Alligator mississippiensis: one gene and its partner. The protein of the gene in region 2 interacts with the protein of the main gene of each other region in a pairwise test. Links are inferred from orthologs where the notes say so. Each region holds a gene or a part of one and is shown on either strand. Other genes may lie near its edges.

The links.
Region 1: the proteins of MLX (region 2) and MNT interact in a two-hybrid assay, tested with the Homo sapiens proteins (2 studies listed by BioGRID and IntAct). The link is inferred for Alligator mississippiensis from reciprocal best matches to the Homo sapiens genes MLX and MNT.

Annotation. Positions count from the first base shown.
Region 1 is NC_081837.1:7,590,073-7,597,582, forward strand, and holds the start of MNT (max-binding protein MNT), read right to left. Parts: upstream 5,131-7,510; 5' UTR 4,936-5,130; coding exon 4,863-4,935; intron 1-4,862. UniProt on the Homo sapiens protein: Binds DNA as a heterodimer with MAX and represses transcription. Binds to the canonical E box sequence 5'-CACGTG-3' and, with higher affinity, to 5'-CACGCG-3'.
Region 2 is NC_081827.1:152,006,214-152,013,723, reverse strand, and holds the start of MLX (max-like protein X), read right to left. Parts: upstream 5,206-7,510; 5' UTR 5,159-5,205; coding exon 5,114-5,158; intron 4,462-5,113; coding exon 4,422-4,461; intron 3,622-4,421; coding exon 3,532-3,621; intron 2,807-3,531; coding exon 2,700-2,806; intron 2,352-2,699; coding exon 2,252-2,351; intron 1,493-2,251; coding exon 1,393-1,492; intron 470-1,392; coding exon 268-469; intron 1-267. UniProt on the Homo sapiens protein: Transcription regulator. Forms a sequence-specific DNA-binding protein complex with MAD1, MAD4, MNT, WBSCR14 and MLXIP which recognizes the core sequence 5'-CACGTG-3'. The TCFL4-MAD1, TCFL4-MAD4, TCFL4-WBSCR14 complexes are transcriptional repressors.

The sequences.
Region 1 (7,510 bases), on a different chromosome or scaffold from region 2:
AATTAAGGCTTACAACACTGCTAGGCAGCATTAATGTAGCAACACCCCTATTTTATGAATCACAGAGGGGCAAAGTCACTTGGCCAAGTGCACACAGTTCTGGTGACCAAGCTAAGGACAGAACCTCCCAGTTCTCTTGGGGCCCTATGCTGTGCTTTAACCAGTACATTTCCTAAGACAGCAGGTAGTGTGTCCAGAGCCAGTCCCTCCTCACCAGCTAAGCCATATTTAGAAGCACTGTTGTATTTCTCCGCACGGTTTAATACAAGATCTGCGCACACCCCTACATCAACAGATGCACTTCACACAGGGTGTGCCTGTGTCCAGTAGGGAACTCTGGACAATAAATACAGAGCTGAAAAGCAATATTGCTATACTTAACAGTTACAGGAGACTCCAAAAACAGGAGCCATACTTTCATCTCCTCTCCCCTCCCCCAAATAATTCCTTCCTCCTTTACCCTTCCCCACCCCTCAAATCACAGGACTGACACATCCTCAGTAGTGTTACGATTAAATTCCCACTTGGTGGTCGGATGTGGAGACCAATCAGGTGGCAGCCCCATTGTGCTAGGTACTCCACAAATAACAAGAAAATGAGAACCTTTATCACAGAGGCAGCTTAGGCATTTATTAATGTCTGGGTCTCTCTCTCAGAGCAGCAAAGCATACTCTTTACTCTGCTAGCTCCATCAGGAGAACAGCTCCACATTACAGCTGTGATAGGCTGGCAAAAAACATGGATCTGGCAAAAGGGATGCAGGAAGAAGGGTTTCTCTCTACGCAGTCCCTAGGTGGATGCATAAGTCAGGGAAGAAAAGGTTCTCCTTCTCTAGCTATGCAAAAGAAAGGGAAAATTGGCATGGCCTGGGTTGAGAGCTTGCACGCACAGCAGGGCCTCCCAAGCAGATTCATACTGTACTATCCCTCCACCCCTCAGCTGTACAATCTATGGCATCTCTACTAGAGCAATCTCAGAACCCAAGCTGCTTTGGAAAACACTCTTCACAGTCCCACAGATTTGATTCACAGGGTGTAAGATGGGGATGCACCACTGCAATCATTTAGTTCAGTGATAGGATGCTGTGGCATGCAAACTTGTTGTGAAATTCTTTGAAGGGTGCTGTGGGATGACACACAAAGTTAGCACTGTCAAGTGTGCAAACAAGATAAACCCAGAGATTTCAAATAGGAATCCAAAGTGTTGAAAACATTCTGGCCTGTTGTGGGCTTCCTGAATTCTCTGCAGCAGAAGAATTGGTCTAGTATTTTTTCTGCAGTCAACAAAAACAGTGAAAAATAAGAACTGGTATTTTCTAAGGCAGTGGTTTTCAACCTGTGGTCCATGGACCTCTGGGGGTCTGAAGAATATGTCTAAGCGGGTCCGCGAAAGATGACTATGATCAATCAAAATTACGTGAATACCCACACTTACAATCCACAGGGGTCCGCACTTCCAAACTTTTTTAGGGGTCCACAAATGAAAAAGGTTGAAAACCACTGTTCTAAGGGGCTCCTTTAATCTAATGAGATGGAGAACCCCTGATCTAGTCTGACCCCCTGCATAACAGAGGCCACAGGATGCCCCTGAATTAATTCGTTTGATCCATAGCATCTCTTTTAGAGAATCATACAAATCTTGTGTATTTTGCTGTTCTTACCTATTCCTTTAGCCGGGTCACTCTCTCGCCCTTGTTTGGTTCCCCTTTGCCCCACATATCCAGTTTGAATGACTGGTCTTCTCTTTCAGGTCTAATTCCAGACTAGTTACTACATATTTCTCTGACCTGGTTTCCTTTATCACTGACACTCCCCAACCCTCTCCACATGGCCTGTTATGCCAGCCTTGCTACCTCCTCTTACAGCAGCCCTAGCAGTAAAGAATTACAGGATGGTAACACCCAACAGGGCCTGGAGGCCCAGTGCACTGGGTGCTGTACAAATATGGCAGAGGCAGCTCCTGTCTAGAAGAGTTCAGCGTGGGAAAGTAGCACCATTAGGCTTCTTTCCTGGTGCTCCTGTTTGGGGAGTCCTCCCTGGCCCTCCTATCATACCACCCTGCGCAAGCCTCTCCCTTGAAATCATTTCTGCCACAAAGTCTCTAAAAAAAGCCCAGCAGCCAAGATGACTCAAAGCCTCACTGACCTGCGCCACTCTTGTCCCCTTTTCTGACTTACTACCATTGCCCTGCCCTGTGCACGTGATCTTTGCTTGTTGTGGCACGCTGAACAGAGCTTGCAGGCTGTGGCAAGAGCTGTATCTTTGTTCTGAAGATGTGCCTAGCTCATTTCTGGGGGCCTGAAAAAAAATACCCCACCCCCCCAACCCAAGAGGATGATTGCATGATAAGCAGCACAGCCTCACACCACACCTCATGCATCCAGCCTGTTCTATTGGCACACGGTGATCAGAGTGTGTTAGTGAGGCACCACAATATGCACACCAACCAGGGAGTAAGTCTGAACATGGAGACTGTGAAGCAGATGCATGAACTGAACCCCTTTTTTTATTTTTGAAAGCTGTGCTGCTCCTGGGTGTAGGCGTGACGCTTGGCCTCAGCAATGTTAGCCCCAGTGTAAGAGGGGGTGTTGTGATAGTCTGTAGGCTTACACTGGATAGTTTCCTTCCTTAGTTATCCCGGAAGCTTTTCTACCCATTCCCTCCAAGCTGCCCTTCTTCATAACATCCACTATCTCCTGCATGACTCATCAGTGAAACAATAGATTTTCAGCTACATCCCACAGCAATGACACACAAAGGGAACAGATCCTTGCTTTTGCAGCAGGTATACACCAGTGTCATTGAGCTAATGCTGCATTACAGCTCCATCACCCTTTACAACATACAGACAGAAAAATACACACATAAATGGGAGAAACGAGACTGCATAGCACAATTTTCAAGAACCTGGTTTTAAAATTCAGTGAAATTCACTGTATTAATGCTTCACCCCCCCCCCCCACACACACACAGCTCCTCTCTCTCTCTCACACACATACACACACTGCCTTTTTTCCTCTGGAAAAGGTCAACCTTGTTCTTATAGGAGTGAACTGCATTGGATTAGGGTCAACAAAGAATATAGGGAGGGCACACAGGAAAAGGGTGGCATCCCTGCCAAGCAGTATTTGCTATCTGTAATTAGGATGATTGGACCACGCTGCTGAAAAGGTGATGCATTGGAAGCAGGGTTTCCCTACCCTATTGCTTAACCTCCGCAGGCCTGCCTCGCTCTCACAATGGTCAGAAAGGCCCTGCGAGTTCTTTTTTTTTTATTCTGAAGTAGATTCACGGTGGAAGCTATTTGCATGAGATTTCCCCAGCCAAAACCACCCCCACAAAGCACAAGCAAAGTGAAATACCCCCCACGCTGCATCAATTCTTTATCGGTCCCAGGAAGATGATTTGAAAGCTGCCCTTAAAACCCATCCAAACACAAAGGGAACCTCCCTAGGAGCAAGCGGGAATCCCTGGATCAGCCCGAAAGAGCGTGGAGTATAATGGAGGTTAACACAGTATCGATTTCACCACAACTGTGTGCATGTGCGAGAGCAAGAAACAGGATGTTTGTTAACTGCAAGCAAGAATGAAACAGTCATGGGGAGTGCAGATGGGGGGGGGGCAATATTCAAATATTCTTGGATGACCTATTTTTTATTCGATTTTCAGTCTTTCGGCCCAGAACAGCTCCCTCCTCCCAGCCCCTGCAGGACTGGGTAGCTGCCATGGGCAAGCCGAGAGCGGAAACCTCCGCCGGGAGCCCCCCTCCCTCCTCCCCCGCCCGTGGCCAGAACGAAAGTGCAGCGGCGGAGCAGCCCCGCAGCGCCCCGGAGGGCGGGGCCCGGCGCACGTGGGAGGGGGCGGGGCCTGCCACGTCATCCGCCCCCGGTTGGAACTAAGGCGCTTGGAACGCGGCGACACGCAACATTCCAAGGGGGAGGGGCGGCCCGCGGGCCGGGCCCGTCTGCCCACGAGGGATCCCGGGGACACGGGCGCCCCGGCCCTGCACGTTTCCAGGAAGGGAGGGGATGTGCGCACACACACACACACGCACGCGGGAGGGAGGAAGGGAGGGAGGAGGCCGTGTGCAATGTATCACACACGAGGGAGGGAGGAGGAACTGCCGCGTATCATCTGACGCTCCGTGTCATTGCATTATGCAAAGGCAGCCTCAGCCCGCTCCGCTGGAGCCCTGCCACCGCCCTAAGCCCACGACCGCGGAGGCAGATCCTCCCCACCAGGAAATGCGAGCCCAGGCATGAGCCTGCCGGCCAGGAGAACAGCTTGGGGGGGGGTGCATTTTTGACGCATTGAAACCCCGTGTCTCCCAACCCATTCACGATAAAAACCCGTTTTCAGGAAAGAAAGGGGAAAAAAAAACAAACCCATGCTTCCATGGCTACTTACTTTTCGCATGCGACTGTTTGCACCGTTTAAGCAAAGAGAAAAACTAATCAAAGAGTCTGTTTGCAGCCTGCGAGCGAGACAGGCTCCGGGATCAGAGCCGAGCCGGGCTAGACCCGGGGGGAGGGGAGGGAGGGGAGCGGATCTCCGGGAACCCCAGGCTCCCCCGAGCCCTTGCAAGGATGTGTCAGCACCTCCCTCCTCCGAGCTCCGCTCCCACCCCGCAAAAAAGCCCGAGCCCCCTGCCTGCCTGCCACCCTCCTTTTATTCAAGGGGGGAAGATGGTTTCACCCCCCGCTGCAAAATCAGCTCGAAAAGCAAGAGGCGCCCTGCACGCCCCGGCCCCGCAGCCGGGTCTCGGGCCCCGAGAAAGGCGCTGTCGCTTCCCCGCCGGCGGGAAATGGTGTCCTGTGTCTTTAAAGAGCTCGGATCCCGGTTTTCCGCGCTGTCCCCCCTTACCACGTGTCTTCTGTTGTTGCTGGGCTTGCCATTCCAGAAACCTGGCTGCTTCCAACAGCGTCTCAATGCTCATCTCTCGGGCTGCCTTGCGGTGGAGGGGCCACAATCCCGGAGGCTCGGATAGAGGGGGTTCCTTCGCCTGGTCTGTCCCCCCGTGCAAAAATGCCCCTGCAAAGCACCCCCCCAGCCCAATCCCCGGCGAGTCTTGCAGACAAGAAAAGGGTTTGCAACAAGATGGCGATGAGTAACAGAAACACAACAAGGAAAAAGGACTGACACTGCCCTGGGCTACTACAGGCGGGCGACGGGGGAAACCCGGCCTGGATCCCCGCCGCTGGCCGGACTGGGGCTGTGCACGCCGGGTGCAGGGGTGGAGTTAACTCCGGGCGAGGTGTCTGCGGGGGGGGGGAGGGCAGGTTTACTCCTTCAATCTCTCTGCTTTATGGATTTCGTTTTACTAGTGGGTGCTCCAGGGAGATGCGCATCTCACCTGCTCAGGCCATATGATTTTGAACTGATTCGACCTGGAACATGAAATAGAGTCATAATAATATGTACAAAAGATCTCACCCCTCTTGCAAACTGTCCTGGCTAGGCCTAGACCCTGTGTCTTTACCAAAATAGATTCATAGATGTAGGGTTGGAGGGGACCTGAGCAGATCATCTAGTCCGACCCCCTGCCCCTGGCAGGAATGAATACATGGCTCTTATGACCCCTGCTAAGTTAAAGCTCAAATGACCCCAGCTAGGTACCCAGCTAGTTTGATATATTGCAACTGGGGAAAAAATGTCACCCCTCCTTTAAACCATCCTGGAGAAGCCTAGATCCTGTGTCTTTACCAAGATATATTGCGACTGGGGGAAAAAATCTCACTCCTCCTGCAAAGTCTCATGGCTAGGCCTAGCCCAGGGGTAGGCAACCCCTGGCACAGGTGCCAGAGTGTGGCACAGTCACAAAGGCATTTTGCTTGGCACGCACACCTCAGGGCAGATGGCAGCACAGCCCCGGCCACCTCCCTGCCACAATAAGGATCGGGCCCCTTGTGGCTCCCCCACCAGTGGTTCCTGGCACACCAACATCTTGTAAGCCCAGTTTGCAGATGTTCTTGGCACTCTGTCCAAAAATGTTGCCATTCCCCGGCCTAGACCCTATGTCTCTACCAAGATGTATTGCAACCAGGAAAAAAAATCTCACCCCTCCTGCAACCCATTATGGCCTAGACTCTGTGTCTTTAGGAAGCTTTATTGCAACCTGGATTTGTTGTTGTTAGTCATGGTGGGGAAGGGATCTGAGAAGGTCACATCTAGTCTACCCCCTGCTCAAAGCAGGACCAGCCCCAACCAGATCATCCCAGCCACGGCTTTGTCTAGCTGGGTCTTAAAAACCTCCAAGGATGAAGAGTCCAGCACCTCTCTAGATAACCTGTTGCAGTGGTTCACCACCCCGCTAGTAAGAAAGGTTTTCCTAATATACAACCTCAACTGCCCTTGCTGCAACTTGAGCCCAAGGCTCCTTGTTCTGTCATCTGCCCCCACTGAGAACAGCCCAGCACCATCCTCTTTGGATCCCCCCCGGCAGGGAGTTGAAGGCTGCTACCAAATCCCCCCTCAGTCTTCTCTTCTGCAGACTAAATAAACCCAGTTCCCTCAGCCTCTCCTCAGAAGTTGTGTGCCCCAGCCCCTGAACCATTTTTGCTGCCCTCCACTGGACTTTCTCCAATTTGTCTGCATCCTTTCCATAAAGCAGGGGTGCAGCCACTGGAAGCTGGCCACTGGGAAGCTAATTACAAGACTTGTAGGGCGTCTTGTCTGCATGGCATTGGACAGGGCTTTGGACTGCTACACGATGCCCAGGGCCCAACGCCTGACAGGGGCAGGCCAGTAGTGGGCTTAGGAGGGGGCAAACCAGGCAACCGCAGGAGGCCCCACACTTTATAAAAATAAATTACACTGAATATTTGTTTGATCAATATTGTATTAAGATACTTTCATTGCAGTTTCATGGCTAGGGCGAAGTGAAAATGAAATCGAAAACGTCCGACTTGCTTTTAGGTCATCAACATTAAGGGGCCTCAAATGACTCTCTTGCCCAGGGCCCCAACAACGCCCTGGGCAGGGCTGCAGGAGGGAGGGGGCTGTGAAGGGCAAGGACCGGCAACCTTCTTTAGGAGCTGGCAGCTGGGCTGTGCCGAGCAGCGGCGAGATGACAGCGGAGGGGTAGAGATGGGCTCCCACCCTCCGAGCCGGGCACAGCGGACTCCGGCGCCGAGTTTTGCAGCGGATCCTCCCCCCGCACTGCGTTTGCATCCTATTAAAATATGTCACCCGGCTGCGGGCCAATGGGCTGGGAGAACAACACGGCATGGAGCAGCTCCACATGGGCGCCCTGCTCCGTCCGCCGCCCGCGGCGCCCCCTTTAAAGGGCCCGGCGCCCGGGGCTCCCTGTTCGCCGCCGGCTGCTCCCGCAGCGGGGCACGTGGGCCGGGGAGAGCGGGGCCAGGTCTGCAGGGACGCTGGAGGCCGCGCCGCGCCCACGTGGGTGCTTGCTGCCCCGAGGGAGGCGGCGCCGGGGTTGGGCTAGGTCCGGCATCGCCACGTTTTCCGCCTCCGCCCCCCTCCCGGGCAGCGGGACCGGCGCGATCCGCGCA
Region 2 (7,510 bases):
GCCTGTCATTAAACAGACCAAGATCTCTGCTTTCGGTGGCTGTCCCAATGATACCCAGTTGGTGAATCCAGAGACCAGGAAAACAGAATTAACATACACTGTTCAATCTGCATTGTTTTGCATTTGCTAATATCTATTACTATTATTTAGATTTATACCCCACCCCCTTACCTAGAAAAACTCAGGGTGATTTATAATAAGCTACAGATGCTTGGCTTTCCAAAATTCCCCTGCTTATTACACTGACTGTGGCTCTCTGCTCCTTACCTGTGGTTTGCAATGCTCCTCAATCCAGCTGAAGACGCATGCTGAAAGTTCCTGAAAACTTGCTACTGAGATGGAGGCATTAAATGACTGGAACAAAGAATCCATGATGCCTTGGAAAACATTAAACTTGACTTGGTCAGACACCTGGTCTTTCCCCTCATTGGGGTTATCCTGGTGAGCTTTCACAATCTGCTCATAGTTTCTGAAATGCACCAAAGAAGTCCGATTAAAATGGCAGGCCTGGGGAGCCAGCACTTGCATGACATACTTCCCACATTTAGGTTACATGAGTTAGGGAGGTGCCTCTGGAAGTTCTGCACTGTCCTCTGAAGGGCCTTTGCTTTGCTTGTAATATTAAAGCTGGTTGTATGGCTAAGGCAAAAGATCTTGCAGTTAAGCTCATGTAGAAAAAGGGTGCATCTACATGAGACATTCGCTGTAGTCGCCTAATTACCTCTGCAATAAATGTTGCAATGTCTACATGTGCAGCCCTATCAGGCCACAGGAAACTAATAAACTTTGCAGCAGGTTAATACTTTTAAATACAAGTATTATTCTGCTGCAGAAGTTTTTTTGCGTGCAGCAACGCCCATGCAAATGATGACCTGGTTGGGGCATGAGGGTGCTTCAGTGTGGGAGCTGTCTGCCAGCTAGCCCTGCACTCTTGTACCCCTCCATAGTTGAGCTGGATCAGAGCAGCTCCATGCTTACAGGCTGACTCCCCGGACCCTCTGCCAGCTGGGGCTGCTCCAACCCAACTCAATGTATTGCAGTCCTGGGTGTATGTGTAAATGTGAAGCCTGTGAGCAATGAACTCTGGAGAGATATGCACCAGAGTTTATTGCTGTGCATTAATATGCATGTGTAGAAGTGCCCAAATACATGCAAAGAAATGGAGACCCTTCCTTTTGTATATGACGGGAGGCCAGTAGCAGAGTCAAGAGTCCCTTGCTCAGGTCATGCTCCTCCCACTACGATCTGTTGTCAAGTTCAGCTTGTCGAGAACCAGCCCTAAGATGGACATGCAAGAAGAAAAGGGTGCCAGGCTCTATTTATAAGAGTCCATGACAGTGTCTCCAACTTCCAGGGCCCGGGAGGCAAAGGTGGGGGAGGAAAGTTCCTTACACTTTCATGATCTTCAAGGCCATGACATCTTTCCTGAGCGTTGAAACTTCCTCCTCCTGTTTCTTCTTCTCCTTGTGCAGGAACTGAATATAGTCAATGGCTAAAGACCAAAGGGATGATAGTGGCTTTAGGAAAACTCAAGCAAGCAGAGTCCAGAGGCCACTGCATCCTGTCTCTCTTCAGGAGGAACAGATGCTAGAGCCCTGTCAGGATTAAACCACTGCACTGTCACCTCTGTAGGTCTTACATATTCAAACTGACAAGTAGCCAGTCTTCTCTGGTCTCAAAGAGGCATTTGCTAAAACGCTTCACTTTGCAGAGGGAGACCCAGGTCCAGAGAAGAGGGAGCAGCAGTGTGCTCTGTCAAACACCTGGGGATCAAGGTGGACGAAGAGGTAATCTGCTCTAGGCACTTAGTTCAACCTCCTCCCTCAACCCAAGTGATTTAAATACCCTTAAGCTACAATGAGGTATGTTGGGGAGGGAGGCAACTGGCCTCAGACGAAATGACAATTGATACTGCTGTACATTTCAACCCCTTGCTGCAAAGTTATTTGTGCAGAAGTGTTTTGGAACATCAGCAAGAGCTTGGGAGAGTTAAACTGCAGAGCCAGCTGAGAGAAGCAGCAGGGAGCAGAATGCTGAGCAAGTCCTGGGAAAAACACTAACAGCAGTTCAAAGTCCAAAGATGGGGGGTGGGGGACAATAATGCAAGTGGGGACATCCCTTGCCTCACTGCAGTCTAGTTCTGGATGGCTGGTGTCCCACTCAGTGGCTGCAGGAGCATGAATTCCCAGCATAGATGCAAAGTGATGCAGTGGTTAGGTAGGAATGTGCCCCTTTTCTGCCCCCAACTCACTTTTCTGCAAGACAATGGCTTTGCTCAGCTTCTGGGAGCCAAGGGAGAAATCTTGCTGCTGGCATGTAGGCACAATAGCCTGCAAGTCATCGTAGCCTTTCTGTTCAAGAGGAAGAGATGATGTTACAGGCATTTTTAGATTAAACCACATGACAGAAGGGCAGTGGCCAAGTAGGTGGTCTCATAAGGTGCCAAAGTCCCAGCTGTCTCTCCAGTTCCTTCATATGGCATCTAGGATGCAGTTACTCAGGGCTGATAACCTGCCCCCAGTAAGCCAAATGTTTAGGGGCACAGTGACTGTGATAACTAAAAGGATATGGGTGTCCTGATGTGGGAGAAATAAGAATGCTGATACCACAGGATGCCCGCGTTATAGGTATGTAACAAAAGGAAAGGACCAACTGTATTCCCATCCAAGAGAACAGTCTGATAGCTGCTCTGATGTTACCTTGATGGCATCCCTTCTCTTCTGCTCTGCCTGGGTGTGTGCACGCCTGCGCCGGTCTTTGTATGACTCTTTATAGGCTTCTTGGTGATAATCGCTGTCTTCATCATCTGCAACGGAAGAAGAGTCACTGTGTCAAAGAGAACTCAGGCGCTTTTGGAGCCTAGGAAGCAGAGGCAGACATGCAGCTGCACGTGCAGAGGTAATGGGGGAGCATGCTCTTCCTGGAATCATTTTATGCACTCTGGTCCAGACCCAGACACAATTACTGACTGGGTAGACAAGCTGCAAACAGGGCACAAACAAGGCAAAGATGAACCTCCCAGAGCCATTGCAGGCCTGCTGGCAGCTGCCTACACCAGAGCATGGTGTGAGTAGGCAGCTGGGCAACACATTTTTGCCAAAGCCCCTGGCTAATGTAGGCAGGATTCTCATGAGAAGATCTCTTGGGCATTAAAACAGGAAGCTGGAGTCCAAGGTCTTTTTCTTTCAGAGGGCAGGTGCTCAGTACTCTCTTGATGGTATTTCCGTTAGCCAGGCCATTTGTTCACACTAACTCTTCTCCTTGCCCCAAGTCAGGAGTGCCTTATCAAACTGTCTCGTTGGAAACTGCGACACCTTCCTGGTGCTCCCCACCATCCTCCTTTGCTGAATGAAAGACATATATACTCAAGCTGGCAAGGGAAGCTACTGCGATTGCATGTGAGCAGCTTTTGCCAGAGAAGAACACATGTTAGAAATAAGTGAGAAAGAGCACCAAAAGCATCTTAAGTGCTGGACAAGTTGAGGGAGGGACTAACCTACAGACAGGGAGAAGGGACACCATGGCCCTTACCTGTATTGGGGACAGAGGAGGCACTAGTGGAGCCAATGCTGTTCGCTCGTGATACTATGCTTCCCTTTCTACTGCTTTCCACAAAGAGTGCTGGAAGAGAAAATACTGGTCATGCATGAAGCAGTGAGCTGAGCAAGGATCTCAAATCCCAGGGGATGTTCCAAACGGATACAGTGTGGTGCTCAGCTCAGGTGGGTAAAGCACAGGGTAGCCAGCTATAAGAATTAGTATCTGTTTGCTGTTGTAGGTGTTTTGTGGATTTAGCAACAAGTAGACAGCAAAGATTTTTCAGGAGCTGTGAAGGAACCAGCTAAACCCCAATGGGATTCACTGTAATCTTTAACATGGACAAAACACGGAAGCAGGGAAGCTTATTCAGCAGGTAACTGGCCCGTACTCTGCATGCCTCTGATACAAGGGAGATATTAGTTCTGCTTTAAAAAGCTGAGAATATGGCGAGGCATCATCAGATTAGAGACTGCGTGTTTTAAAAATAACTTCCCACCCAGCACCACTCAGCCTGGGTGTGATCACTCAAACTGCAGTGACAGCAGATCTCAAGCTTCCTTCTCCCTACGTTCCAGTTGTTACTTACACGTTTTGGCTTGCACCGCTGTCCCAGAGCTAGACAAAAACATCCATTTATCATTCTTTACAAGTTCAAGTCGTCCCTTTCCCTTAATTTAAACCCTCCTTTAAAGTTTTAATCCATGCACCGCTTATATTTACAAAACCTACATTCCGCACATATTATTCTTTGCGCTAAGTTTCCAGCGTTAAAATGATGCAGGAAACTGGCGTGCCCTGCCTGTTTCATCTATGCTCTTTTGTCTGGCAACAGCAGAGTTGACCCGACAATATTTGAAAGAGGAATGCACAGAGCTACTTACGAGCCTCCAGTCCATTGTCGCTGTACACACAGTCCACCTGCTGTGTTGCCAGATGACAGTGTAAGCAAAAGGGAAGAGAAGAGAAAAAAAGCCAGCCAGTGAGTAAGGCAGTTTCCTCTTTTGCGCAATCAACTATCACGCTACTGTGTGTCAGCAACAGAAGTAGCCCATGGCCTGTCGACTCCCCACAGCCCACTCTGCAGAACAGCTGCTCTCTCAAACAAGGCTGCTGCGCAATTTGCTATGCCCGTGCTGCTGGGCAGCACACTGGGCACGTCCTTGTTTTACTGCAGTTTATTCTGGGAACCTGCAGTACCGTCTTGACAGGGATGCACACTTATGCCCTCGGAGACTAATGGGAGGGGCTGGGCACTGGGCAGTTGTGTCTGCCCCGAGATGACTGGCCGACAATTCCCCCCTGTTATTTGCTTCATATGATTATATGATTATTTGCTGTTTAGGCAGACGGCCGTGCACGACGCTCCCCAGGGCTGGGAGGTGGCTCGCTGTCTCCAGCACCCTCAACCCCCGTGCTGAGGCGGCCCCGCGGCGCCTGCCTGCGGGTCCCCGGGCCCGGCCGCGCCGCCTCGTGGCGGGGGCCCGGAGCGGGGACAGCGGGATCCCGCTCCAGCACCCGAGCTCCCACCCGCTTTTCGTCCCATCCCGGCCACCGTCCAGCCCCCGAGACTCACTTTTCCCCACGGGTCCTCGGCCGCGGCGCCTAGTGGCTCCGCCATCTTCCCGCTGCCTCGTCATATGATTCCCGAGGCGCCAACCAATCACAGCATCCGCTGGCCTCGTGGGGCGGCACTTCCGGGAGCTGCCTCTCCCGGCCGCGGAGGCCGATGGGAGTTGTAGTCTGGCTGCGGGTGACGGGCTCAGCTGAGGGGCCGCTCTGCCCTGCCGCTGCCCCTCAGCTGCTCTCCGGCTCCGCAGCTCCCATCTCCCGCCCCGCAGCTTGCTTTACCTCACCCCAATGAAGCCTTGCATGCATCTTAAACGGAGCCCTCCGGCCCTAGGCCCCTGGCAGAGCCCAGCGCTTCCAGCGTCTCTTTAGCTGCATAAAGCTTGTGCTGTGTTATGTGAGGAGCAGGGATCCTGGTTTCCTCCGATTTAAAAATAATCCCCAACTTTCGGGTAAAAAAAAGGAACCCCAAATTCACATTTTTCCGTGATTTAAATGAAACACCACTGATATAGATAGATAGATAGAGATAGTTTATCTATCTATCTATCTGTTATTTCATTTAAATCACGGAAAAATGTGGATTTGGGGTTCCTTTTTTTAACCGAAAATTGGGGGTTCTTTTTAAATCGGATCCCGGGGGATGAGGCGCTTGGCGGCCCACGCTCCCCTTTGCAAATTTCTAGGCTTGCCCATGCTGTCCTGTCACGTGGCCCCTTCGCGCCTTCCCCTGCTGTCCTGCAGCCTCATCTCCTTCAGCCCGGATTTGCTCGATTACACAGGGAACTCCGTGGGAGCCACCGGCAGCAGACGCATGGCTCTGTGAAACAGGCGTGTGACACCGTGCCAGTGCTGTATGAGGGAGCGATGTCACAGTGCTTAGTTGGCTTGCACCCACACCGCAAGTGTTGGCTCAGGACACCAGACTGCACAGAGCTGTACGGCTGCACTTGCAAGGGCTGCCCCACATGGGCAGGCTCCAGCAGATCAGCCCGCACTAGCCAAGAGCCCCTCTCCCTTGGTCTGGTTTATCTCTTTAGAGCACTGGTGCTCAGTGGCCTATGGGCTGTGGCAGGACAGTAAGGGGTGCTACTATGCTAAGCCACCCACCTCACTGTGCCAGGCCCAAAACCATGCTTTGGGAGTCTCCATGTCTGGCCATCCCCTTTCCTGGAGCACACCCACAAGCCTGGGGTAACGCTGCCACCACCTGGGCACTGGTCTCTGTTAAGGCTCTTTGCAGCCCGGGATACACAGATAAAGACAGCTTTGGGGGTGCTTGGTCCCTTGGTAATATCTCTGGGTGCTCCTTATAGCCTGAAGCTTCCTAGGATAATCTCAGGTAGGACCGTGTTAGTTAATAAAGAGCCAAACTCCCCTCAGCTCAGCCGAGCAAAGAGAACAAAAAGGCTTGTCTCTCCCCTCTTCCCTCAAGAGTACACAGCTAGGTGAGCTGTAACAGATAGCTTTATTGACCACAGATGGAGAGAATGGGGTAGGGGTACAGGACAAAGGAATATTAAAAGAAAATGCCTTGAGTAAAACAGAATCAATTGAGCCTTTCAAATATGGGCTTGTGGCCCTTTTAACATACAGCTGAAAACTTAGTTCTAAATAGCCAAATTCCAGATTTCTACTTACAAATCTTCCAGAGAGTCTGTCTCTCATGGAGGCACATCCTTCTGTGTCTGTGTTCCCAGAATGACTGCCTGTCTTCTTCCCCACATGCCCGCTTCAGGACAAAGGAAGAGCGAGCTTCCCCCTCCCTAGGAATTTTTACAGCCCAGGCACCTAGGTGACTAGGTTGACCAAAACTAGGCAGTTGATCAGGTTGACCAAAACAGGAAAAAACAGAGTGGCCTGGGCTGTCCTAATACAGAGGTGAGACAGACTGAGGAGGATTTCTTCACATGGCAAGATCCAGCTTATAGAGCTGTATCATCTGGCCCATGGGGCTCCCCATGGGTCCAGAAACTTGGCAGCAGAGAAGCAGTGCTAGTGTTAATTGCCATGGCTCTGGCAACTGGAAGAAGAAAGGGGAGCACAGAGAATTTACTGCTATTGCAGCTGGAGGGATGGAAGAAGCAGCAGCCAGGCAGCAGTGGGCCATGGGCTGCCAATTGGACAGCCATGATCTGCTGTGCCATAGATTTCATAGATTTCATAGGCATTAGGGCTGGAAGGGACCTTGGAAGATCATCGAGTTCAGCCCCCTGCCCAAAGGGCAGGAAGTCAGCAGGGGTCACAGGATCCCAGCAAGATAAGCATCCAGTTTCGTCTTGGTGTTCAATGAAGGCGCTTGAACCACCTCCGGTGGCAGGCTGTTCCAGACCTTGGGGGCTCGGACAGCAAAGAAATTCTTCCTTATGTCCAGCCTGAAATGGTCTTGTAGTAGTTTGTGACC